Oryzias latipes: one gene and its partners. The main gene of each other region encodes a partner of the protein of the gene in region 3 in a complex. Links are inferred from orthologs where the notes say so. Each region holds a gene or a part of one and is shown on either strand. Other genes may lie near its edges. The genes, in order: lamtor1, fnip1, lamtor5, lamtor2 and flcn.

Evidence for each region.
Region 1: lamtor5 (region 3) and lamtor1 share a complex: the UniProt entries of both Homo sapiens proteins name them as parts of the ragulator complex. The link is inferred for Oryzias latipes from reciprocal best matches to the Homo sapiens genes LAMTOR5 and LAMTOR1.
Region 2: lamtor5 (region 3) and fnip1 share a complex: the UniProt entries of both Homo sapiens proteins name them as parts of the lysosomal folliculin complex. The link is inferred for Oryzias latipes from reciprocal best matches to the Homo sapiens genes LAMTOR5 and FNIP1.
Region 4: lamtor5 (region 3) and lamtor2 share a complex: the UniProt entries of both Homo sapiens proteins name them as parts of the ragulator complex. The link is inferred for Oryzias latipes from reciprocal best matches to the Homo sapiens genes LAMTOR5 and LAMTOR2.
Region 5: lamtor5 (region 3) and flcn share a complex: the UniProt entries of both Homo sapiens proteins name them as parts of the lysosomal folliculin complex. The link is inferred for Oryzias latipes from reciprocal best matches to the Homo sapiens genes LAMTOR5 and FLCN.

The regions. Positions count from the first base shown.
Region 1 is NC_019871.2:21,797,971-21,802,904, forward strand, and holds the start of lamtor1 (ragulator complex protein LAMTOR1), read right to left. Parts: upstream 3,267-4,934; 5' UTR 2,981-3,266; coding exon 2,939-2,980; intron 1,802-2,938; coding exon 1,656-1,801; intron 1,561-1,655; coding exon 1,483-1,560; intron 1,051-1,482; coding exon 927-1,050; intron 196-926; coding exon 103-195; 3' UTR 1-102. UniProt on the Homo sapiens protein: Key component of the Ragulator complex, a multiprotein complex involved in amino acid sensing and activation of mTORC1, a signaling complex promoting cell growth in response to growth factors, energy levels, and amino acids.
Region 2 is NC_019872.2:4,917,598-4,922,572, reverse strand, and holds the start of fnip1 (folliculin-interacting protein 1), read left to right. Parts: upstream 1-1,435; 5' UTR 1,436-1,550; coding exon 1,551-1,642; intron 1,643-4,975. Other genes in the region: uncharacterized protein LOC101165494, read left to right, coding at 14-406. UniProt on the Homo sapiens protein: Binding partner of the GTPase-activating protein FLCN: involved in the cellular response to amino acid availability by regulating the non-canonical mTORC1 signaling cascade controlling the MiT/TFE factors TFEB and TFE3.
Region 3 is NC_019865.2:10,897,168-10,902,120, reverse strand, and holds the start of lamtor5 (ragulator complex protein LAMTOR5), read left to right. Parts: upstream 1-1,930; 5' UTR 1,931-2,069; coding exon 2,070-2,104; intron 2,105-2,193; coding exon 2,194-2,255; intron 2,256-4,048; coding exon 4,049-4,166; intron 4,167-4,953. UniProt on the Homo sapiens protein: As part of the Ragulator complex it is involved in amino acid sensing and activation of mTORC1, a signaling complex promoting cell growth in response to growth factors, energy levels, and amino acids.
Region 4 is NC_019874.2:28,619,772-28,624,783, reverse strand, and holds the start of lamtor2 (ragulator complex protein LAMTOR2), read left to right. Parts: upstream 1-1,665; 5' UTR 1,666-1,811; coding exon 1,812-1,879; intron 1,880-2,495; coding exon 2,496-2,658; intron 2,659-3,608; coding exon 3,609-3,698; intron 3,699-5,012. UniProt on the Homo sapiens protein: As part of the Ragulator complex it is involved in amino acid sensing and activation of mTORC1, a signaling complex promoting cell growth in response to growth factors, energy levels, and amino acids.
Region 5 is NC_019874.2:19,455,702-19,459,409, forward strand, and holds the end of flcn (folliculin), read right to left. Parts: intron 2,935-3,708; coding exon 2,811-2,934; intron 2,693-2,810; coding exon 2,567-2,692; intron 2,046-2,566; coding exon 1,943-2,045; intron 1,848-1,942; coding exon 1,640-1,847; 3' UTR 1,242-1,639; downstream 1-1,241. UniProt on the Homo sapiens protein: Multi-functional protein, involved in both the cellular response to amino acid availability and in the regulation of glycolysis.

The DNA of each region.
Region 1 (4,934 bases), on a different chromosome or scaffold from region 3:
GTAGTTTTAAAAAAAAACAGAAAAAGTGGGCTGGAGGAGAACACAGATGAGACGAAGAGCGACTTGGATGGGAGGAACAATATGCAGGTCGGAGTTGCAGAATCAAGGAATGGCAAACTGGACCACCAGTTCCTCTTTAGCATCCACTTTGATTTGAGAGATCGCACTGTAAGCATAAGCAGCTATCTTGGACACCTGCGGAAAAAGGACAACATTGTAGGTTTCATTTATTTGACAGGAACCAATTACAGGAACATTAATAAAAGAAAAGGTGCTTTGTCCCAGACCATAGCTCTCAGAGCTAATGTCCATTTGCAGTCCCAACAAGCAGCAAGTCAAATATTGAAGAATTGAACAAAAATTGTGTATTTGCTCTTTAAAAGATGTCTTACAAACGTTCAGCTTTACAGTTAAAAGAGAAAAAGCAACTCTTCACATGAAGTACTTAGCGGAGACGTCTCCCAACGAGGTTTTTTTTTGCCCCCAATCCGATTCTGAGTCATTTGATTTTGAAAATCTGCATGATCAGAACGCTATTACAGACTTCTAATAGAATATTTTAAAATATAAAGCACTGATCATAATAATGAAAAAAAAAATTAATATTAATACTTCAGCAGAAAGTAACATGCGATTTCAACTGAGAGTCTAGTAATTAATATCACTTGTTTTCTTTTTTTTGTCCATTTGTACATTTTTAAGGGGGAGAATTCTGAATGTTTAGATGAAGAAATGGGTTGATGCAACAATATTTCAAAATACTCTGTTTTTATTTTCAAAACACAACCAAGATAAACCTCAACTTTTTTATAGGGTCTTTGTTTTGTTTTTTAAACAAATCACCTGGTTTTACAGCATAAAACAAGGCAGGACAAACAGGACATGGATTCAAGGACATGGATTAAAGTGCGTGTCAGTGTGGTTACCTGCTGAATATCTGAATATGACACCAGATCACTTGCAAGCACTTGGTGGGGCTGGGTAGTGAGTGAGGGGAGGGCTAGTGCTTTCTTCTGTGGTAGGCTGGTGCTCACTGCAGTCAACTTTGTACTGGAACCATAAAAAAAAACACAAGTTCAGCTTCAAAAAAAATTAACCCAAATGGTCTCGCTTGTGTCCGACCAGACTGCACAGTTTTGCACTATAACCGGCGGTTGCCTTTTACAGCTTGACAGCTGTTTTGTCTAAACAGCTTTTATAGGGAAGCACCAGCACTGCAGCAATTTTGTGGTTAAATTACCTCCTTCACAACTTCCTCAGGATACAAAGACCTCATCATCCTCAATTGCTTTAGATTCCACGAATAAAACTGTTTTTTTTGCTAAATCCGAACCATGTATACAAAATATTGCAGAATAAAAGTTGTTCAACCAATTACAATACAGAGGCTTGCAGTTTACAAATTTAATATAAATTTAAATTATTGGCTTACACATGCCAAAAGTTCAGTTGGTAACGAATAAGTAGTCTTCAAAGACATACCTGTATTGCTTGGCTTTGTCCATGTATTCATGCTGCTCCATAACAACAGAGTCAGCTGCTGAGACATCAATGATGTTCCTCAAACACAACAAAGAGATTTTCATTACTTGCGTTTGAGACTATAGTGTCAAAAGTCCCATTCTGGACCTATCCAAACATAAAAAGTGCCTTACTGTGCTGTCTTGACCAGGATGGATGTGAGAATGGCCTGCTCATCCGTCCGCGCTGATGGGACGCTAGGATTGATCCAGTCTGTCCCATTTGGAGGCTTGCTAATGGGGTTTGGGTGGGGGATAAGGGGCTTAATCTCATCAGGGTCCTTGCAAAAGTAGCAGAGCATCTATTCAGACAATTTATACACACTTCTGAATGAAAATGTCACAAATACTGTCTTAAAACTGTTTTCTGAAGTAGTTGCAACAATGAAAGCATGCCATTTTACCAGGACAAAAGACTGTAGATGACATGTGTGCAGCAAGTTACTCATTTTTACTTTTAATAAGTGAACATATTACAAACTCTTCAACTAAGAGAAATCTCTGCAACCTTTGCTAGTGCTGAACAATAAGTCTGTTATGATATTTATTTTTCATGTGTTAGGTTATCCAGTACCATTTCATTTTAAATATTTTAAGAAACTTTTTCACTTAACCGGAAAACAGTTCATCTCAACTTTTAATTCTTTAAATACGAATACAAAAACCCTTCATCCACTTGTACATGTTATGCTACCAGACCTTACACAAATCAATAAAAATAATGTTAATTAAACCTAATGTGTGTTTTATTATAGAGAAATGTTTAAACTAAATCAATTATACTTTAAATTTCACTATGCTTTTAACAGAACAATTTACGTGTTTGGTTTAATGTGCTTTGCAAAAATAATAAAAATAGAGGGCTAAACAGTTATTTTACTACAACTATGATGGCATATTTACAGTAACAAAGGAACGTCACACTTGTTTCCTTATACTAAAATAGCTTGGAGTCTGCATGATCATGTGACACTGAACTCTTCAAGACACAATACGGAAAAGTCTAGTTATGTATTCTGTACAGCCTACAGCTCACAATTGATTTCTAACCCATGATTAAACAGCACGAACATAATCTACGTAACAAACTGCAGGACGTGAATTTGTTTGATAAGTAAATATTTCGTATATATAAACCACTAAACTTTAACAAGAAATCCAGATGTTTACATTAACAGATATACAACTTGTTTACTTTACTTAAGCTACTAAATCAGCTCCGGGCTAGGCCTGCATTAGAGTTAGCTACATTGCTTTAGATGTTACAGAAATATCTGACACAAAACTAGAAGTTACATGGGCAGGTTTTCCTCTTTATATTTAAATATCAATTTTAAAAAAAAGTAAATACCACGGTAAACAAGGCAGAACCGAGCACCGTACAGTTATCGGGTTGTGGTTAGCTAGCGGCTAACTACCTGACTTGTGTTCTCGTCCTCGTTGCTGTAACAGCAACCCATGGCGGCGGCGTCTGAGGAGCCAAACTAGCAATGCGCGGCTTCCCTGTTCTCCTTCAGATACGAGCCGCGCGCTCCGTCTCCAACAAACATAAAATTCCTCTCCTGTGGACTTTTACTTTAACAACATCAAGAAGCAGGAAGCTACTGCAGCACAGCAGCTTTTCAGACAGGCTATCACATGACAGCAGCTGTGTTGCAACAACAACTCAACTTCTACTTCCGGTTCTCGTGAAGCCGCTGCGGCCTTCGTCACGTGATGCAGGTTGTTTCATGCAGAAGCACAGTGGCGCCCTTCGGCGGGGCCGTGTGCCATTAGAACCCTCACCCCTTGCTTCGTTAACCCTTGTGCTATCCTAGGCATTTTAACATTGGGAGCTGGGTCATCTAGACCGACTAAACAGTGCGCTGAATCTTTTTTCTTCAATGATTTGTGATCTTCACTGGTGTCCATAAATTACATGAAATCTTTCCACCTTTATCCACCTTTGTCATGGTAGGGAGAACACGTCAAAGTAAGGGTGGGGTCATCTAAGATAGCACAAGGGTTAAAACAAATAATATTATTTTTGTTCCAGGCAATTAATGAAATCTGATAAACAATTATGTCATCAATATTTGTAATAAAAAATAGTATAATGTTTTTAAATTATGTATTATAATATACATATAAATCTTGAATCTATCATTTTTACAATATATAAAAATTATTAAATAAATAAAAAATATTAACACCTTCGTTTTCCTCCAAAATTTATTTAAGATAAGAAAAAATAAATATCTGTGGTGAATTCCACCTTCAGGAGCTTTAGCTGAAAATAATCAGTCATCTGTTTAAAAGCCAAAGGAAAAAATTGAGCAGAGCTGAAAAAAAAGACCTTTAAGTGTTAAATAATTTATCAGAACCAACAGCAGGTGAACAGGCCCCGTTTATATCGCTGATAAAGAAAATGGATGGACAGACGGACAGATGGATTATTTATTTTGTTGCTGAAGTGATGAAAAAAGGTATTCTTTTTCTTGTTTCATCTAATAACTGACTTTTGAAATCTGAAGTGTTGGATTTTTGAGTGAACAGTAATGGATAACAAAACTCCGCTTGGGATAATCTGAATCCGAATTGCAACTAAAAAAGACCCACAGTTTGCTCAGAATGTTGGAGTTTTGCTAAGTCCAACTACCTGCCAATCAAAAAAAAAACACACACCTCCACATATTCCACACCTGTGGTGAACAAAAATAAATCAATAGAAATATAAAATTTTGCTTTAAAGTCCGACTTTTAGATGTGAGAGTCAGTGGGAAATTGCCTCATTCTGAAACCAGCCTCTAGTGGTCATTTAGGTGTGTGACAATGAATGGGCGTTAAATTTAAGGTTCTCCATTTCAGATATTCACAGTGAATGTTTGGAAATCCACATTTACTCATAAAAATCCTCACAGAAATTAAAGAAAAGAAAAAATGTACCAGTCATAATTAATGAAGATAGTTAGACAAACAAATAGTTAGCCAAACATAAGTGCGGACAGGAAATATATACAGTAAACACATTTTCAGAAAATTTTTTCAGAAACAAAAAGTTTTTAAAAAAAACTCCATAAGCTGTAAGCATGGTTGTGACAATTTTATGTTTTTGACAAGGAAAATGTAGATTTGTTCATGAAAATGGGTCAATTTAAATATAAATATCTCAATGTTGACTTGTTTTTATCATAGATTTGTCTATGAGCTCTTATTGTTGTTGTTTTTTACAGTGAAGACAAAACTTTTAAGGAATAGCATGATTAAATTCCAGAGTCAAATGGCACTACCGGTAAATAAAATACATTTGATTTAAAACACATGCCTTTCAATGATGGCCTAACAGCGGATGAACAGTTCAACATTATAATGGGGTGGCCATGGTGCAGCAGTAGGGCGGCTGACCTCTAATCGAAATATTGCCTGTTTAATTCC
Region 2 (4,975 bases), on a different chromosome or scaffold from region 3:
GTTTTTGCCCTAGTTTGTTGGGAGAAGGCCCATAGTGTGCAGAAAAAGGGTATCATTCAAAAGCCCGGTCATTTCTGAGCCTCTGAAAGAAAAACATGCTCCATCACCTTCAGGCATAAATGACACCATCCGGAAACTATCCCGAGTTTCTGAGCGGACGAAACCAGATGCACAGACGCCCAAAATGGATGAAATCAGCTCTAAAAAAGAAATAACGGTGACCCCAAAAAGGCCTGTTGAGACTGAGAAAACCATGTTCTTTGACTTTACCAGCAACGCTGACATGGATGCTCTCTTTCAGAACATGAGAGATAGAAGTGCAAAACTTAGGTGCTCATTTTATTTTCCTTTTACTGTAGGCACCCAAAGCCCTCTGCGTAATAAAAGCAGATCTGAGTTAACCTGAAGTTAACTCTGATACTACAGTGTACAGTTGCACAACATAGTTTTTGCCTAAATGACAATATAAAAACATGATTGGAACGAACATGCTCTCTGTGAGAAATGACTCTGACTTTAGAAGACATGGATAAATTAATAAAACAAATACAATGGCAAATAAAGAGAACTAGCTCATAAATTAGTTTGATATAAAACATGAATGCCTTCAAAACAGTAAATGTTTGTATTTTCTTTTTCAGTATAGGACATCAAGAAAATAAACATACTAATAAGAGTTTTTAAACCTTATAAAACTATACAAGATGTGGGTATATTTTAATATGTAATGTGTGTTTCTATAGCTTTGTTTCTTCTGTAACCTCTTTTAATGTATCTGCATATTATATAAAGCAAAAACAATGTTAGAGCCTGTATTTTTAATGTTTGCATGTAATCCAAATGTGTTGTGAATGTTGAACACTAGGTGGCGCATCTGTATCAGTTTTCTTGTCCTCTTTAAAAAATAAAAATAAATATAACACGTGTTAAACGTATGCCAACGTTTTTATTTTAATATTCAAAATTCTATAAATGTTTTTTCAATAATCCTTTGAATATCAGGTTGTTACATTTTTGAAAGGTGTCTTTTTGATAAAAATGAGAATGCGCAAATTAGTCAAAATAGTAAAACCTTCATCTTTTGTATAATTTACAACTGTGAAATAAAAACTATTTAAAATTAAATTACGTTCTGTAAACATTAATATATATGTCAATGTATTCCACTGTATACGTACAATTTAGGATTTTTTTGTTTTGTTTTTAAAAGGATATTTGTGAAATAAGTGTTAAATTTATAGCATGTTTCTGTCCGAAGTTCAACCGGTGTAAAAGACTAAATTTAGTGACGTAACGATTCTAGACAAAACATCAACACGGAAAAGTCTGTGGTCACGTGGTTCCAGTCCAAAAATATAAGCCAATCGCGTAGTTTGTAGTAGCAGCCGTATCTGGTTAGCCAATCAGGAAAATGTAGATGGTTACCAAGGTGCTCCTGTGACTAATGCCTGTCATATGACTGACACCCATGGAGACAGTTACAAGGAACAAAATTTGCTTGTGGATTTGAAAAGAACGGGTATCCGTGCCGAATTCGTTGTGGGAACAAAATGCCTCCAACTCTTTTCCACAAACTTTTCAACAAGAAGAATGCATTTTCATCGCCACCACCTAGATGCAGCAAAGAAGACGTCGCTTTCAGGTAGCTGTCCTGTGTGTGTTTGTTCGGGGTTTGTGTGTGTAATGTTGTGTGCGCTATTTATTTATTTATTAAATTCACTGTATTGTTTGGTAAGAAAGTATAACTTCGGGTGGTAAATGTTTAGGAAGTGTGGCTTCTAAATAGCCCCTGTGCACCTCTTTGTATACAAGTAAAGTAAAGTACGTGGGATACGTGTTGTGACTGTTGTTGCGGGAAGCTAGCATGCTAATGCTAACAACTAGCCGAGCTGCAGGACACGCTTTCTTGGTGCGACTTGGCTCAATATCGATCTCATCCCAAACATTTAAACCAATATTGTTCCGTGTATGACGTGATTTTGTAGCTAAAACAAACTCTGAGCTTTTAGCGAGTCTGTGTTTGTTGCTTATAGAAGTTATAAGGGAGCAGTGTGCCGCTCTTTTTCCTTTGTTTCTCCTCGTGCCTCCCTTTCTGTGTCTTTGGCAGTAATTGAGCGCGTGCAGGGCAGCGCAGACCCTCTCCCGTGTTGCTCATCTTTGCTGAACGTGGAGCAAAGTACACAGATGATATTGTATTCCGCCGTTTCGGTCTGATAGAGGGAGGACACAGTGTGCTCTGTCGGATGACATGTGAAAGCTTCCGTGGCCCGTTTGGAGATGCAGAATTGACGGTCCGGATCTGCTTCTGAACCAACAGTTCTCACATGGGATGCCTTTGCGAATATATGATGGCACTTTGAAATAAACGGACAAAATGACCTCTTTTACATATAAATGCACAATAAAACAGCAAAACTTGTAACAATTTCATTGTATTTATTTATTTTTAGAAATTGAGACACAAAGAACTCCACCAGAATTGTCTGGGTTAAAAGTGACTATTGCTTTACACCAATAAAAACATGTTTTTCATGCAAAAGCAACTTTATTATATGCAAATATTTTGATATTTTATTGCATCTCCACTTTTATTACTCTTAAATCGCTAGTTATATGAAAAAGGGTTGTGGAACTGTACATTTAAAAATTAAAGAAAAAATGCTGGAGCATCACCTCAGAAATGTATTTTGCTTGTATACAAATCTTTAAAAAAAATATTCTCATGTTGCAGTGCTTTGTTTTGTTTTCCCTAACCAGTAATGATCCATATTTGGTCAGAAAAAGAAAATAAATGCCTTTTCACCTTTTTTTCCCCCATATCAGATTATTTTGTTTTATTTCTGCTGATGTTAACTACCTTTTAATAATTTAATTTATCTTTTTAATGATGTATTTTATATTCCTATTATCAGATACTGCAAAAGCAGTGTCTATTGAGGCAAAATCTAGTATGTTTTACAACTATCTATTAGTAAAAATAAAGTAATCAAAAATTGCTTTCCACTGCATTCGTGCATAAACAGATTGCAAAATAAATGTTCATATATTTTTAATACTGCTTTCAAAAAAGTATTTCAAAATATATTTTTGAATTAGGATTATGAACTAAATGTATTTGGACTAAAGTGATGTCTGTACTATAGTTTGCTAAAGTTATGTCATGTTTGAGTTGATTAGAACTAAAAGTTGACTTTTACTTTATTACTGTCGCTGTATTTGATAAAATACTACACCGAAATTATTTTTCTAGGATAGTCTAGGATAGTCTAGCACACCTTCTAGATGAGAGTAATGTATGCTTTGAATGGGGAATCTTTGAATTTCTACGTTTTTACTGGGCAATGTCGCATGTTGTCCTTTAACTGTGAATTATTTGTGGTCATGAAAGCTCATCTTCTTGTTAGGCTGCTGGCACTTTACCCAGCATGGGCTATAGCACATCTGATGGCCAGAAAGGTGATTTAAAAAAAAGTGACGCATGTGTAAATGTGTAATTAGGCTTAGTAGTTGGTGTTGGTTGGCATCAGTCTAGAGCAAACAGACAGCAGGCGGTTCTGTTAACTCTGTGGTCAGCTGTGCTCTTCATACCTCTGGCTAAAGCTTCCCCCATTCATCAACCATGAAATGGCTCTGAAGGGGAGAAATCTGTCTATAGACAGTAGGGAAAGGACACTTGGGTGCTAATATTTATGACTAGTGTAGTTTTACATACAAGGGATACTGAATGAATGTTTTCCGAGTTAAAGAAAATACATTTTTTTAAAGTATCTTTCATTAGAATGTGTATGAGGAACAGCTGGACTGGAGAAAGTTTCAGGTTAATTCAGTCACCAGTGAGAAATCTGTTTTAAATGCTGTTATAAGTAGCCTGGGTTAGTTATTATTAGTTATTTGGAGGTTCCTGGCACTTTGTCCTAGAAACTCCAAACCTGAATCCTAAGTCTGACTGAATAAAGGAACTAGAACATCTAATACAATCACACAAATAAGTTTGACTGAACTTAGTCTTTGTTCACATCTTGCTGCCCTACATTAAGCGTCAACAACCAAAAACATAATCGGACCGCATCATTGTGGCTTTCAAAATACCACAGAGGGTAGAGGGTTGGCTCACCCTGCAGTAAAGCCTAAAAGCCTCTCTTGTTTCCATAGCTGCAACTCCTGAGCCATGGAAAGCGTACTGTACGATACGCCGAGAGTTTCTGGCTCATCTGCAGCCGGTCTCCAGTGCCGCGACTCAGATTGCTTGTCACGGGAGCCTGCTGAGGAAACCCTCCCTCTTGACCTGTGTCATGCAGCTCCTTAAAAATAAGCTTGTGCTGAAATGTGTGGAGTCTGTAGAAGCAATACACAGGAATTAATAATAATAAAAAAACTTTTTACATTTATGTTATGTTTAAGGAAAAAACTTTTTTTTATTTTTAGATGTTCAAAAATTACGCAGAACTTTATTATTATTATTTTTTTGGAGATTTATTTTTTTTATTGATGCAAAATTCATAATTGCAACTACGTGAACTTTTATATTTTTAATAGCAACGACATGATTCTCAGAATACTTGTCCACATTTAGAAATGCTTGACATTGCAGAAGGCTTTGCAAAGTTTTAAGCTGCATGGAACGTATTTATAGTGGTCATTTCATTAATGATGGTTCAGGAGAAGACGTTTCTCAGGTTCCTGACTGGAATAGGATCTTTCCCCTACTACATGGTTTCAGAATGTGGTGTGTCATGTGAGGTTTTCATCAAGCTGGGCCTGTCATGTTTCTGGAATGATCACATGGCTGTGGTCACAGCCATAGCTGGATAAGCAAAGACAGACTTTTGGATGTTAATGAAGAATGCATATTTTGTAACCTGTGTGTCTGTTGGGTTAAGTAGACCCCTCTTTTAATACACACTTTTAAAAGCATTTATTTTTTATCATCCATTATTGGTGAATTCTATCAGATCCTATTGTGTATGTGCAAAAG
Region 3 (4,953 bases):
ATATTAATAAAAACAGGAACATTAATCCAGAATAACTCAAGTTAAACCTTAAATAACTTGAAATATTTTGTTCTCCATATAAATATGTTCTGTCAAAATTATACAAATATGAACATGCTGCAGAACAAAACAAAGAAAGCCTGGAAATATTAATAAGAAATTACATATCAAATAATTCCATTTTTTTTTGCTCTTTCATCATTTTTTAGAGCATTTTTTTTTTTAGAGCTAGACTCCTGCTTCATTTTTAGCAATAATTTCTTAATGTGTGACGTCCTGTGTGTGTCTCTGTGAAACATATCTGAGGGATTAGATCTAAAAAATAAAACTTATTGTGATTAATATGTTTAGGTCTTATAGAACATTAAAGACTAAATCTTAGAACTCATCAGTGGGATTACTCCAAAAATATTTGGCATTTCCCTAAATTTGTGCAACACCAACAGCAGAAATCCTCCAAAAAAACTCAATCCTAAAAAAATGGTCTGATCTAATCCCCCCTCCCCCTCCCCTTCCCTCTGACACACGCGGCTCCGTCTCCATGACGACAGCGCGCAGCTGCGGCTCAGAGTTGATTGTCAGATAGAAAAAGACCCCCAATCACCTGTTAGTGTGATTCAGCCAGCCACCGGCGAGCTGCGCTCCCCTCTCGAGTTTTTTGACTTATGTTCCAAAGACTACAAAGAGGTGTGGCCGCAATCGTCTTGCAGCAGAGGGCGGTGGTCACGTGCGCATCGGGTCTGCTGTGTCGGAGCAAAGAATTGTGGGAAATAATCTCCATTGCCTGCTTTTTTCGAAATTGGGTTGAGCACGGATGTTTGTTCTGCCTAATTCATTTTCATGTGCCGGTTTTACGTTGTTTCACTCTGAGGTATTCTTTTTTTTTTTTTTTTTTTTTTTTTTTTTGCACCATAAGTGTGAAGAGCAAATAGGAGGAAGACATTCTTTAGAGTCTGATGTGTCTAAATAAAAGCATTAAGTGTCGGCTGCTCAAGCAATTTCAAATTAAAAGCTCCAAGCTTCCTCTTTGAATTTAGTATGTAGCATATTATGTGTAACGCCTCAGGAACGGCAAATGCCGCCCCCTATGAAGTGCCGCCCTGGGCGACCGCCCACATCGACCATATCAAAAACCGCCACTGCACTGCAGTAAGATAAACAGTTTAAGTCCCACTCCAATAATCATTCGATCTATTTTCAGTGTTTCCAGTACCGGTAGTCTTTTAATTATAACTATGCCGCTTTTAGGCTAAATCAAAAAACCTTTGTCGTTTTCAGGGACATACATAGTTTCTGCAGCGTGGCAGTAGTTCATTAGAAATTCATCTCTGAGTTGTGGGCGGGACTGTTGGCGAGGACTAAGCCAATCCCTGCTTCCTATCATCAGTTTACAGCCCCTCACAGCCCCCAACCTAAAATTATGCAACAAAAATGGCTAGCAATATTGGAGCTATGCAGCCATACCGTTTTGATCCAGATGTCAGCTCTGGCAAAGAAAACAAAGATGTACAAGGATCTAGTCATCTACAAGCCAATCCATCATAATGGAAAATGCTGCTGGTTGTAGTAGCTTGTAGTAGCTTCTACGTCAGATCTGCAGGATATTTCAAATGGCATTTTTGCACATGCTACTGATTCACAACGATTTGAATAAAGAAATACTCAGAAATGCAATTTTAATCTTATTTTTTTTATGTGTCCTGCATCATCAGAAAAATGTCACAAGAATTAAAAAATACACCAAAAATCATTTATTTGAATTAAGCCGTCAATTCTATTCTATTCTATTCTATTCTATTCTATTCTATTCTATTCTACTGAAAACCAATTATTTTTAATTTGTACTAAAAGATACAGTTATCAGTCTGTCTTTAGTTGGTTGTTTTGTAGTTTTGAGTTGGCTCAGCCGTTCGCGCTTCGTCTTGTTTGACCCTGGCGATGTCTCTTACTGTACGTCACAGTCACATGATTGTCAGGAGGAATTTAAGGAAACAAACGTCAACAACAAAAAATACAATTTTTGGGCCATAGAACTTTACATTTTCTGATTTTTTTACGGTTTTCTAAAGATGGAGTCAACCCTCGAACAACACCTTGACGATACGTGAGTTCTAATCTATGCTAACTAGCTTGTTTCTTTACATTTCGTACATTCGTTTGGCTAATTCTCTTGATTTCGTGTTTTTTCTGCAGCATGAAAAATCCAGCTGTTGTTGGGGTTCTATGCACGGACCAACAAGGACACAACTTGGGCTGTAAGACTCTTCAGAGTTAACAGGAAGTCACATCACATGTATTTATTCACGAAGTACCCCGTAGTCGATATTCTCTAGTTCGTCAGTTTCGCTAATAAATAAATTCCCGCAACAGTTTAGTTTCCCCAAAAACACAAGTTTCCACCGCCAGCTGTTTATGAGAGATCATGTTGTTATTTCTGATGTTTTAGTCTTTAATCTCATTAGAGAAATGTTGCCAGTGAGTGAGAGAGGCAAAGATGTAACTCAGAAAGAAGACCCATAGTGTTTAGGTCAGTGCAGATCATGTGTAGACATCTGTCTCCTAAAGACATCCTTTGCTTACATAACGGGATGTGTTACTTTTTCCAAAGAGGCCCATATTTGCAGTGAATCTTAGAACTATTTGAAACACATTAAATTAAATATACTGCAATGGGATACTTTTCATGACATTTCATGATTACATGACAGTCTTCACATAGAAAACAGACATCTAACTACGTTTTTACCAAAATTACTGTCACATTTGTATATTTTTTGCACAGTTCATTCACAGTTAGCTTGTCGTATTAGCATGTCTTATCTGGTAGTTTCTCTTGATATTGAACTCCATGAAAACAGCCACAGTCTTCTGGCCCATTAGGCAGACACAGTTGTTTTATATTTCACTGAAAAAATGTTCAAATTTTCCATTTGTCCTTTAAGAGGTTGACCCTTAAAGAGCTAGAGAGTGTCACAAAAGGGTCGCACAACAGTGTTTCCACAGGTTTATAAAGTCTGATTTAGCCAACCACACAGCTTTTAGATATTGTTGCAGGACGCGTTCTGTTGATTTTATGTAGGAGCCTACGGGCCGGTGAAAATTTGAAAGGGGGCCGGATTTGGCCCACAAGCCGGACTTTGGACATGCCTGGCTCTCATGACTGATCGACTGTTTTCCGTGTTGAAGACCTGAGTCGGAATAATTTAAAAATGGGTCTTCAACTGAATAAGTAACAATTTCCTCTTGAGGCAAACTGATTTGATCTATTATATGATAGTAACAGTTCAGACCAGCAAACATAGCAAAGAATTCTGGCTCACTGTGGTGGTCTGATCTGCTGCTGGTTATTACACCTTTGCTGCCAGATGTTAAAGCTACATGTTAAATTATCACACTGTTGGTGCTCTGACATTGTAAAAACGTGAAATCAGATTTACTTTAAGAAAAAAGTTAAATTCTAAATAAAGACTGCAGTCCAAATGAACTGATCTGATGAGCAGAAGGATGCATCTAAAGCAGGTCATCATTTAAAGTCCCACTCTGATCATCTTTTGATCTATTTCAAAAGCATTCCTAGTCTTTTATTTATGATGAAGCTGTTTTTGACCCAAAAAAAATAGTCATTTTCCAGAACAAAGTTTCTGCAGAGCAGCACTAGTTTTTTTAAAAATTCACCTCTTGAGTTGTGAGCAGGACTGTCGGCGTGAAGTAAGCCCACTTGTCGTCACTCATCTGTTTACTGTTTACATGCTCTCCTGCTAGCTTTCAGCCCTTCAGACCCCAAGCCTAACATTAGCGGTACATCAAAAATAGCGAGCAGTATCAGAGCTATACAGTCCTAGAGTTTTTAACCCGATAACTGCTCGGATGAGAAAAACAAAGACGTCCATGGATCTAGTCTGGATTCTGCTGATTCACAACGATTTGAATAAACAAATCCTGAAAAATGCATTTTTGAATATGTTCTCCATCATCAGAAAAATGCCAAAAGAACATGTTTAAAACACAATTTTCATCAGAGCGGGTCTTTGACATATTTTTTTTTTAGGTCGTGGATCTCTGTCAGATGAACATGGAGGTGTGGTGTCTGTTCTGGCTAAACAAGCAGCTGCTCTCACCAGAGACCTGACGGACACACCGACTGTGTGCCTAGAGTCCGAGTCAGGGTGAGCCATGGACTGTGCCTTTGCACAACTTCTTCTATTTCTTAGTTTTAGTGCATTTAAGGTGTGCCTTTGTAGTTTTAAATGTGGAAGTGTACAAATAAGAGTTCCAAGACGCTGTGCAATCAGCTTCAACTTCTGTGCCACAGAGGTGCAGCAGAGATGAGCATCCTCTATACCTGCTGGTCACGTGGGAGACCATGCCTAATTATTTTTCTGAGTATTGGCTCCTCTATACTATTCATGACTTTTGGAACTTCCGGATGTTGGAATATAATAATTTCCCCACCTCCTCAATACTGTACATTTAAGTCATTTAATGGATGATTTAATTCAAAGTGGCTTAACAGTGAGATACAAAACAAACCATATTATCCAGGATTAAGTGGTTGTGAGGGTTAGACTCATGGATAATCATATAGGCAGACCTGGATTTGAGTATTTATTTTTTTGGACTATGCTGCCACCTTCTGGACTCTTTTAAACTATTGAATGTAGTGGAATTCCCACCTCTGAAATGGACTTTGTCATTTGGAATTAGAAATTTACCAAAAACACAAGTAAATAGAATTCAATCCTGTTGTCTAAGTAGCACAACACCAAAAAAAAAAAACTTCTAATGAAGCTGAACAACAAACAAACAAACAAACAAAAACAACAACTATATAGTTATGAAATTACCAACTCAATTTATACTCAAATAAAAAAAAAATGAATATAGTGTCTAAAATCTCTTTTTTCTATCTAAGCCAAAGGAAAAATGTTTACATTTTTATATGTGATGAGCTCA
Region 4 (5,012 bases), on a different chromosome or scaffold from region 3:
CGCAAAGAGTCGTTGGCCGAAATCCTCTACAGATCTGTGCCCATTGACAAATGAATGAATTACGTTTATCACATATGTTTCACAAAAGACAGAACTTAAGCAAAATGTGTGACATGGCCTTAACCCTTGTGTTATCTTAGATGACCCCACCCTTACATTGACGTGTTCTCCCTGCCATGACAAAGGTGGATAAAGGTGGAAAGATTTCATGTAATCCATGGACACCAGTGAAGATCACAAATCATTGAAGAAAAAAGGTTCAGAGCACTTCTAGTGGGTCTACATGACCTAACTCTCTGTGTTAAAGTGCCTATGATAGCACAAGGGTTAATGTTCTGATAATGAAATAAAATGTATTTTCTGCCATTTTATAAAGGTGTATTAGTATTCACTCAAAGTTTTGCAAATTCATACTCTTTTTAAAATTGGTGATATTTAGCCTTTCTTGCAGCCACACTGTACATACTGATTAGATTTTTTTTGTAATTTCTTTTCTCCAAAAGACACTTTTATTCGTCATCATCATTTGTCCTTTCAGTTGCAGAGACTAGAATAGAAAAAACTGATTTTTTGACCTTTCATCTAAACTTCAGAGGTGTCAGAATGACCTCAAAGAGTTTTACTATAAATTTAAAGAGTTAACTTTTTTGTCACATATCTAGAAGGAAATGTGTTTATTTCCTTCTGCCAAAATGAGACTACATCCTCTCTGATTTTACACCACGTCTGTAGCTTTCAATGGTTGACGGTATAAACAAAACTGTAAACGGATGCACTTGTGTGACTATAATTTTACCAAAACACATATCAGAGAATACATATTAACCATGCACTCATGTACCATAGCAGTTACAGCATGGAATCAAATCAACTTTTGTTTATACAAATGATTGGTTTGTGTCTTTTTTATAAGTGTGTCCACTCAAACACAACAGATTTACCTCTTAGAACAAAATCCTCTTCTTACAGACAAAAAAAAAACAATAATATCCTCGGCCCGATCACTTTTTCTGATGTCCAAAGGGCAGGAGGGAAACGATTCTGCCAAACACTTTGCGCAAACATGTCCTCCCACCAGGAAGCCAGCAGACAATAAAAACCTCAAAGCAGACTAACCTTTACTGTAAGGAGGAGTGTCAAAAGATTTAAATAACACTTCTTTGGTTGAAGTAGAATAAAAAGTACACTTCTTTGAAGCATAAAATCTTTGAGATAAAAACTCTAAATATGACAAAGGAGATGAATCAAGGAGGTGAAGTTTTCGTCGTTCACTGAAGCAAACTATATTTCCCATGATACATTTCCAAAGAACTGGTCATATTCTAGCAGCTCTAATAGGTGTGAGTGTGAATGGGAGTGTGATTGTGGCCCTGCGACAGACTGGCAATCTGTCCAGGGTGTCCCCTGCCTTCACCCACAAGTGGCCGGGATAGGCTCCAGCAGCCCCGTGACCCAGAAATGGACAAAACGGAGGAAGATGAATGAATGGCCATATTCCAGTTCTCAAAAATGTTTACAGACTACATGGGAAAGTAATTTAAAACAAAAAGATTTGTGAAAAAATCAGGAATAATTAAAAATTTAAAAATAAAGTTTAAAGAAAAACATAATAAATATAAATAGGAAACATGTATTTGGATATAACTGCAATTCCCATGATGCATCTCTAAATGTACCGGAAAAGGAAACAGAAGAAGAATCGAGTCAGCTGACTTTGCTCTGTTATTGAGCAGTTCTCTCTTCTTTTTTAAGCCCCGTGTTTATTCAGTCAGATCATTTTTCTGGGTTTTTTCTCCTGAGAGAGGTCGGCCATGTTGCGACCCAAAGCGCTGACGCAAGTTCTCAGCCAGGCGAACACGAACGGCGTCCAGAGCACCCTGTGAGTACCGCGAGCTAGCAGGCTAACATCCAGCTAGCTAGCAGCGGTTTGTTTGCGTCTAGCTCCTTAGAACTCTTAAAGCTCCCCTGAAACGACACGTTTATATAATTATTACTTCACCAACTTAATACTACTTTTACATTTTCATTATTTATTGCAATAAATACAAATATATTTTTTCAAGATTTGTTTTCCGCTGTTAAATCAAATACAGTTTTACACGAATTTCAAGCAGTTGAATTTTGATTTCAAAATAAGAGTCTTTTTAAAATATATTTGGTTCGTTTTTATTTTTGCTTAGAAAGTCTGTTCAGGGTACAAAATATCATTATCAGGTAGAAAAAAAGCAAAAAAAATCGATTTACATTTAAAAAGTGGTGTGGGAAAATAAGTAATCTGTAATGTTTGATGTAGATCTGTTTGATATAGATCTGTTCATCGTTTTAGCCATTTTGCATCAATCGATCAATTTCTGTCCTGGAGACCTCCTGACAAAATTACTTGGTTTTCATGGTTTGAAAACGGAATGGCGTTTGTCTTAAAACTTTGTCACTGTAACTTTTCATCATTGTGTTGTTTTTGTGTGTAATGAACAACCGTCTCTCTGTGCGAGCAGCCTACTGAACAACGAAGGCTCCCTCCTGGCGTACTCCGGTTACGGCGACACAGACGCTCGAGTGACCGCTGCCATCGCCAGCAACATCTGGGCCGCCTACGACAAGAACGGCCACCAGGCCTTCAACGAGGACAAACTCAAGTTCATCCTCATGGACTGCATGGTGGGAACTTTCTCCTTGTTTTCCTTCAGCCCTTTTGTTGAAGTTAGATTCTATGAATGCCCCAACATCTCTGAAGGGGTCTGCAATTTGAGGCATCACAGCTGTTTTTTTTCCCCCTCCATTGTGACTTTAAAGAAAAAATGTGTATTATTTAAATAAAATAATGTGTTTGTAGTTTTGCTTTAGCATGCATACATGGTGGCACCTGTTCAGTCTGGTCTGTTTCAAACGGGACCAAATGGCTCTTTTAATGTTGTACAAAATATGAATAATGGGACTTGAGCAAACCTTCAGATATGGAAGGAGCTGGCTCTTGATACCAATAGCACCACAGGAAGACACCAAACACACACTCCTTGTACTCCTTGCCCATTTTTTTTTGCCCCGCTCTACAGTTTTGTAAACATTGCTCAAGTCAAACGTGTCAACGTCCTGCATCATTTTTCTCATGATACATAAATAATCTTCGCTCATGCAAACAACCAGATGATTTTCTTATTTCTAACTTCCAGCTCTGAGGCAAAATGTTTAACTTAATTCCCGAAAATCAGCGAATCCACACAGTAAAACCCCCACTCTGCCTTAGGAGGAGGGGCTTTGTGGAGAGTCTTGCTCTGTAGATGGAGGGGAAACCTGCTGCATTTGGTCGCATAAAAAAAGCTGAGATCCATTCTTTCAAACCTGTGATTCAGTTCGATTTGCGCCTCATCGCCCCTTATTCAGTAATAATTCATGTCTGCACATTAGCTGAGAGCTGCTGAACTGAGTGAAGGTCAGGCTTACATAAATACTGTCGTAAATCTGAGCATCGCAAACTAACAGCAAAGCAGTGTTCTGTGAGAAATCCATCTGACTTAGTGGATTTATGATTGGAAGTTACAACCTGTAAAGAAAAGTGACTTTTAGTCTTTGGACTCGACCAATAAAAAGGCTTTTTTTTTTTTTCTCAGGAAGGGAGAGTGGCCATAACGCATGTGGCTAACCTGCTGCTTTGCATGTACGCCAAAGAGACGGTGGGCTTCGGGATGCTGAAAGCAAAGGTGAGGGCGCTGCTTCCTCACATGGGTCTTCATCAGCTGTGGTTCCTCAACGAGTCCCGATTCCTGACCCCACAAGTTCAGTTCAACCAAGGACATTTATTCACTCGTTTATTCATTCACTCTCCTCTATGTAGTTTAGTGGAAGTGAAGCATATTTCAGATCAAATTCCGATTCCAAGTTATTGGATTTGGAGTTGCTGCCGATACCGAGTTCCGATCTGTTACTGTCGTAGCACATCCAAAAAAAAATGACAAACTTAATAAACAGATCAACATTTTCCAAATTTTTAAAATTTTATTAAGCTTCTTTTAGCATTTTACACGTAAACAGAGCACTTCTGGGAAGTATCTTCAACAATCAAGGAAAAGTAATGCAATTATCAAATAGAAAAAATAGTTAACTATAAACTAGTACAAACTTGTTAATAGTTAACTAGTCAAAATAGGTTAATTAGCCCTATGAGAAAGTTTGGTGACTGTAGCCTTAACATCTTCAGAACTGTTGAACATTTTTGATCAGATGTGATTCATTTCCCTGTTATAATATCAAATAATCAATTTCCAAATTCATCGTTGTAGCATAATTATGATGAGTATTTGTGACTTTCAACAGAACCATTGACTAATCGTTAGTATTTTTATTATTATTATTATTATTATTATTATTATTATGTATTTATTTATCTTGGTCTATTTTTCCCAGAACTTGCACTTTGTAGGCGGTCCCTTATCAGCCCACCATCAGTTTCATTCTCTTGAAAAGAATGAAAAAAAGAGCAATTTTTATTTATTTACTATTTACAGTCTTTGTAAGTCGTTGGTAAGTTAAGATGAGCCAATATAGACACTTGCTGTCAGTATAAAATGTTTGATATACCGTACTTATTGTGTCAGGAAGTCTGAATCTGTGAACAACTGGTTAACTTTCCCGAACTGTGTTTGTGCGCCTCCTGGTGGCGTATTCCTGCTCCGCTTTACGACAATAAAACGTCCTGATCCATTCAGGAAGTGCCGACTTCTAGTAGAGTATTTATCTGTAATGTTAAAAATATATATATAACGGTAATTTCATTTTGATTTGACTTATTGGTTTATTTCAAGCCTTAATTGAATTAATAATAATAATAGATTGGATTTATCTGTGCTTTTCCAGACACTCAAAGCGCTTCAAATGTGTCCATTATTCATTCACTCTTCATTCATAGTTGGTTCGCGCCTACGGTCCCTCGGACCATCACTGGGATCATTCATGCACATTCATGCTGGTAGCGTTAAGGGTCTTACCCAAGGGCCCTCACTCACTGGTGTTTACTG
Region 5 (3,708 bases), on a different chromosome or scaffold from region 3:
TCACTATTGACTGACCGGGCTCCCTCCCCCCCATGCTCCCCACATTCCCTGACACCCCCACCCCATCCTCCCAAATCAGGGCTGAGGAGGCTTAGTCATGCAGTGGGAGCGTATGTTTTTCATTTGAATTCTCCCCCACACCTCTGCGCCTGTGAATCCTCTGGTCCTTAGCCCTCCGGGCTCATTCAGCCTAATCACAGCTATTTTTCTTTAAATAGACAGTGAATCGCATTCCTTCCCAAGCATGATTGCCACATTGCAAAGTCAGAACTTGCAAGTCATGCATGTGAGAGCTCCCATTTAGTCACTTGTGTTTAAAAAACAAAAAAAAAAAACTCAGCTTGGTGTGATGGCGATACCAAGAACTGACATCCGCTGTCATCGTTTCATCATTAACACCTTGTCCTGCTCCCTCAGGTTATGACAAGCATCATTTGGATTTCAGCAAAGTGCAAAGAAAGGGGTTAACAACTAATGACAGGAAGGACGAAGACAGTCGCTGTGCCAAAGACAAATTGTTCTTCTGAAAGTTCACGTCCAGCCATCTCTGCCGAGGAGGAAAAAGGAAGCCAGAGAATCCAGGCGGCCCTGCAGCCAACAACATAGGTCCCCTAAGTGTAATCAAAGTGAAAAACCTTGACCCGTACCATACCAGACAAATATGGATTTGTTTCTTTTCTCTGCTCATGCATAACTTACATATGTGACAGATGTTTTTAGAGACTTCTAAGTCATTCAACACGGCAAATAAAGTCCAGATTTCAGCCACAAGAGAGAAAGCAAAACATGAAGACTATTAGTCAACACATTCCTTCTAAAGAGAAAGATAGTCAACCAATTTTAGAAACTCCAATTTATCTCCTAATTTGGAATAAAAATTTGGTTTCTTTTCACTAGTACTTGCATATATGTAGATTTAAAAAAAAAAAAAAAAAACCTCGACAGAATAAAAGCCACATGCTGTCTGCAAACTTTAGAAAATCAACAGGCTTCAATAAGTTGTATGAAGAAACGAACCCCCCCTGAGATTAAGACTGCAAAATCCTGCCGATGTGGTGCTGAAGCCAGGCCTTGTTGTGCAACCGTTTAGCAGAAAAACTGAAAAGTGTTGTCTTACAACACTTGGGACTTGCTGGCCGATGGCCAGTTCAACAATTGAGCTTCTGGACAAACAGCCCCTCCTTCTGCACCCCCCTTCCCAGTATGTATTCCTCTGGTTCACCACAAGATGGAGCCAGCTGTGGAGTTACACCCACTCACCATGTGATGATTTATTTCAGCTGAAAATGTCAGAATGACTACACAGAAGTGCAAATTGCTGTAGTAATAAGTTACATTTTGCATTAAGAAATTCCCTGTGATACAAAAAAATGCTTATATATTATTTAAAATTCCTCAGCATGGTAATGTGTGCAGAGTGAGCACAATAGATTTATTCCTTAAAAAGACAATAGATGAGCAAATTCCTTCATTCACAGTCCTCTAGTTCCCTTTCATTCCAGCTAAAGGTGCTGAACAGTAACAAAGAAAAGACTTATGCATGCTTCGTTTAGCATTTAGATGTTGCTTTCACTTTTCCTTTTTTTTCTGAGCTCCCCGTTTTTCGCCCCTTCACCGGCTCCTCCTCCTCCTCTCTTTGTCACTGGCTGAGGCTCCTCTCCCCTCCTCGTACTGCTGTCATTAAATGGCTCTTGTAGAGTTTACTGAGTCCTGTCATCCAGTACTTGAGCAGTCTGACGTTCTCCTCCTCGCCGGGCCCCGTGGCGCCGAGAACAGCCAGAACCCTCTGGGTGTCCTCCCTCCCTCGGCCGTCCACTTTGGAGAACTTGAACAGCACTTTGACCTTACTGAAAGAGAGAAAATTCACAATAGGGTTCACTAAAGAGCAGGGGGGAAAAAATCTGTCTTTAACTGACACCAAGTCTGCCTCAGTAGGACTCACTTCATCCACTCCTCCTTCAAACAAAGCAGGCAGTGAGACACGACGTCCACAGACAAGTTCTCGTTTGACAGGGCGGCCTCCAGCTTGTTTAATAAAGTTGGACCTGAGAGGAAAAAAGAAACACATTTCTGTTTACAGAACAGGTTTGGATTAAAGCTGGGACAGCGATGAAGCCAACCACCTAATAGGTAGTTTCTAACGGGAATTTAAACCTTGTTATTTTATTATGTAATTCGAAAAAGGTGTTTTGTTTTAATGAAATGCTGCGGTGAAGTCCCACTAAAAAATGAAAACATAAAACCAAAGACATACTGTATTTTTTTCTCTGCTGGGCACAACAGGCATTATAAGCTTCTCTTCAAGCTCATAATTTATAGCAGCGCTTCAGTGAAAAAGTATAGGATTACAAAACAAAACAAGCCCGGAAGCCTCAGCAGTCATCTGCATTTCCCATCTCTGCTGTTTTCAAGCTACACATATAACCCAATTAATATTTATTTATAAGAGTTTCTAAAAGAATAGAACATTTAGAATCTTTCAGAGCAGCTGGGACATGAATTCTTCCTCCCAAAACGCATCAGTGACCACATATGTGCAAGCATTATTGCCGGTGTGAGCACTCACCTCTGTCTGTTGGCTGTGTGCTGGCACTGCTGATGCTGAAGTGATTGAAAGCGGAGATGTCATCTTCGCCTGCAGCAGACGTGGCATGGCTCCTCTCTGAGGTCACGTCCACCAGCACAGAAAACTCTTAGGGAAGGTAAAAAAGTAAAAGAGTAAAACAAAAAGATCCCAGAAAATTCCTCCAAAGCAAAATCGAACAATATGTGGGTGTGGGGTTTCCCGGCGACACGAGGAGATGTGGTACCTGAGGAGCTGACGTGTGCTGGAATGGGAACATCGGGGCTGAGACCCAGGAAGTTGCATTTGTAGGCCTCCTCATACCGATCGCTGTACGCCACCGAGCGCACACAGCCGACTGGCAGCAACGTCTAGAAGAACCACAGACAGACATTAAAATCAGTTTGATGTCTTATGCCATTTTAAAAGCATTCCAAAATTCAAAAACTTGTTTCGTTTTCTAGGTCATAATTGCAGTAGTTCTGAGTTGTGGGATGTAGCAAGGTCACCCCACTTCCCGTCGCCCATCTGGTTACATGTTATCCTGCTAGCTTATGGCCCCTCACAACCCCAACCTAACGTTACCGATGCAACAAAAATGGGAAGCCATATTGCAGCTATCCAGTCATACAGTTTCGAGCCAAATAGTAGCTTGGATGAGGAAAATGAAGACACAAACGTGGATCTATCTGTCTGCAAGTGGATGCATCAGAATGGAGCTTGTGACCCGTCCAATGTAGCTTTTTTTAAATACAAGCTTTTTCAAGCGGCATTTAGTTCATCTGCTCCTGATTCACAACGATTTAAATAAAGAAATACTTAGAAATGCAATTTTAAGTTTATTTCTCCTTGTAGTTGTCCTCCAACATCAGACACATGCCAGAAAAACATGTTAAAAACACAAAAAACATGATTTTCATCAGAGTGAGTTTTTAAGCACTGCTGTTCATGTTGTACCCGAATGGAGGGTGTTTGGCTGTTCCATCCTCTCTACCACTAAAGAAAGAACAGCATCATAACACAGGCAGGACAAAAGGCTTGCTAATTCAACACTGAGCACAAATCCAACAGTATAGCAAAATGGAAATAAAGATCTTAAGAGGGGAATCAAACTGAGCAGATATGAGCCTGTCATCTTTTCTCTT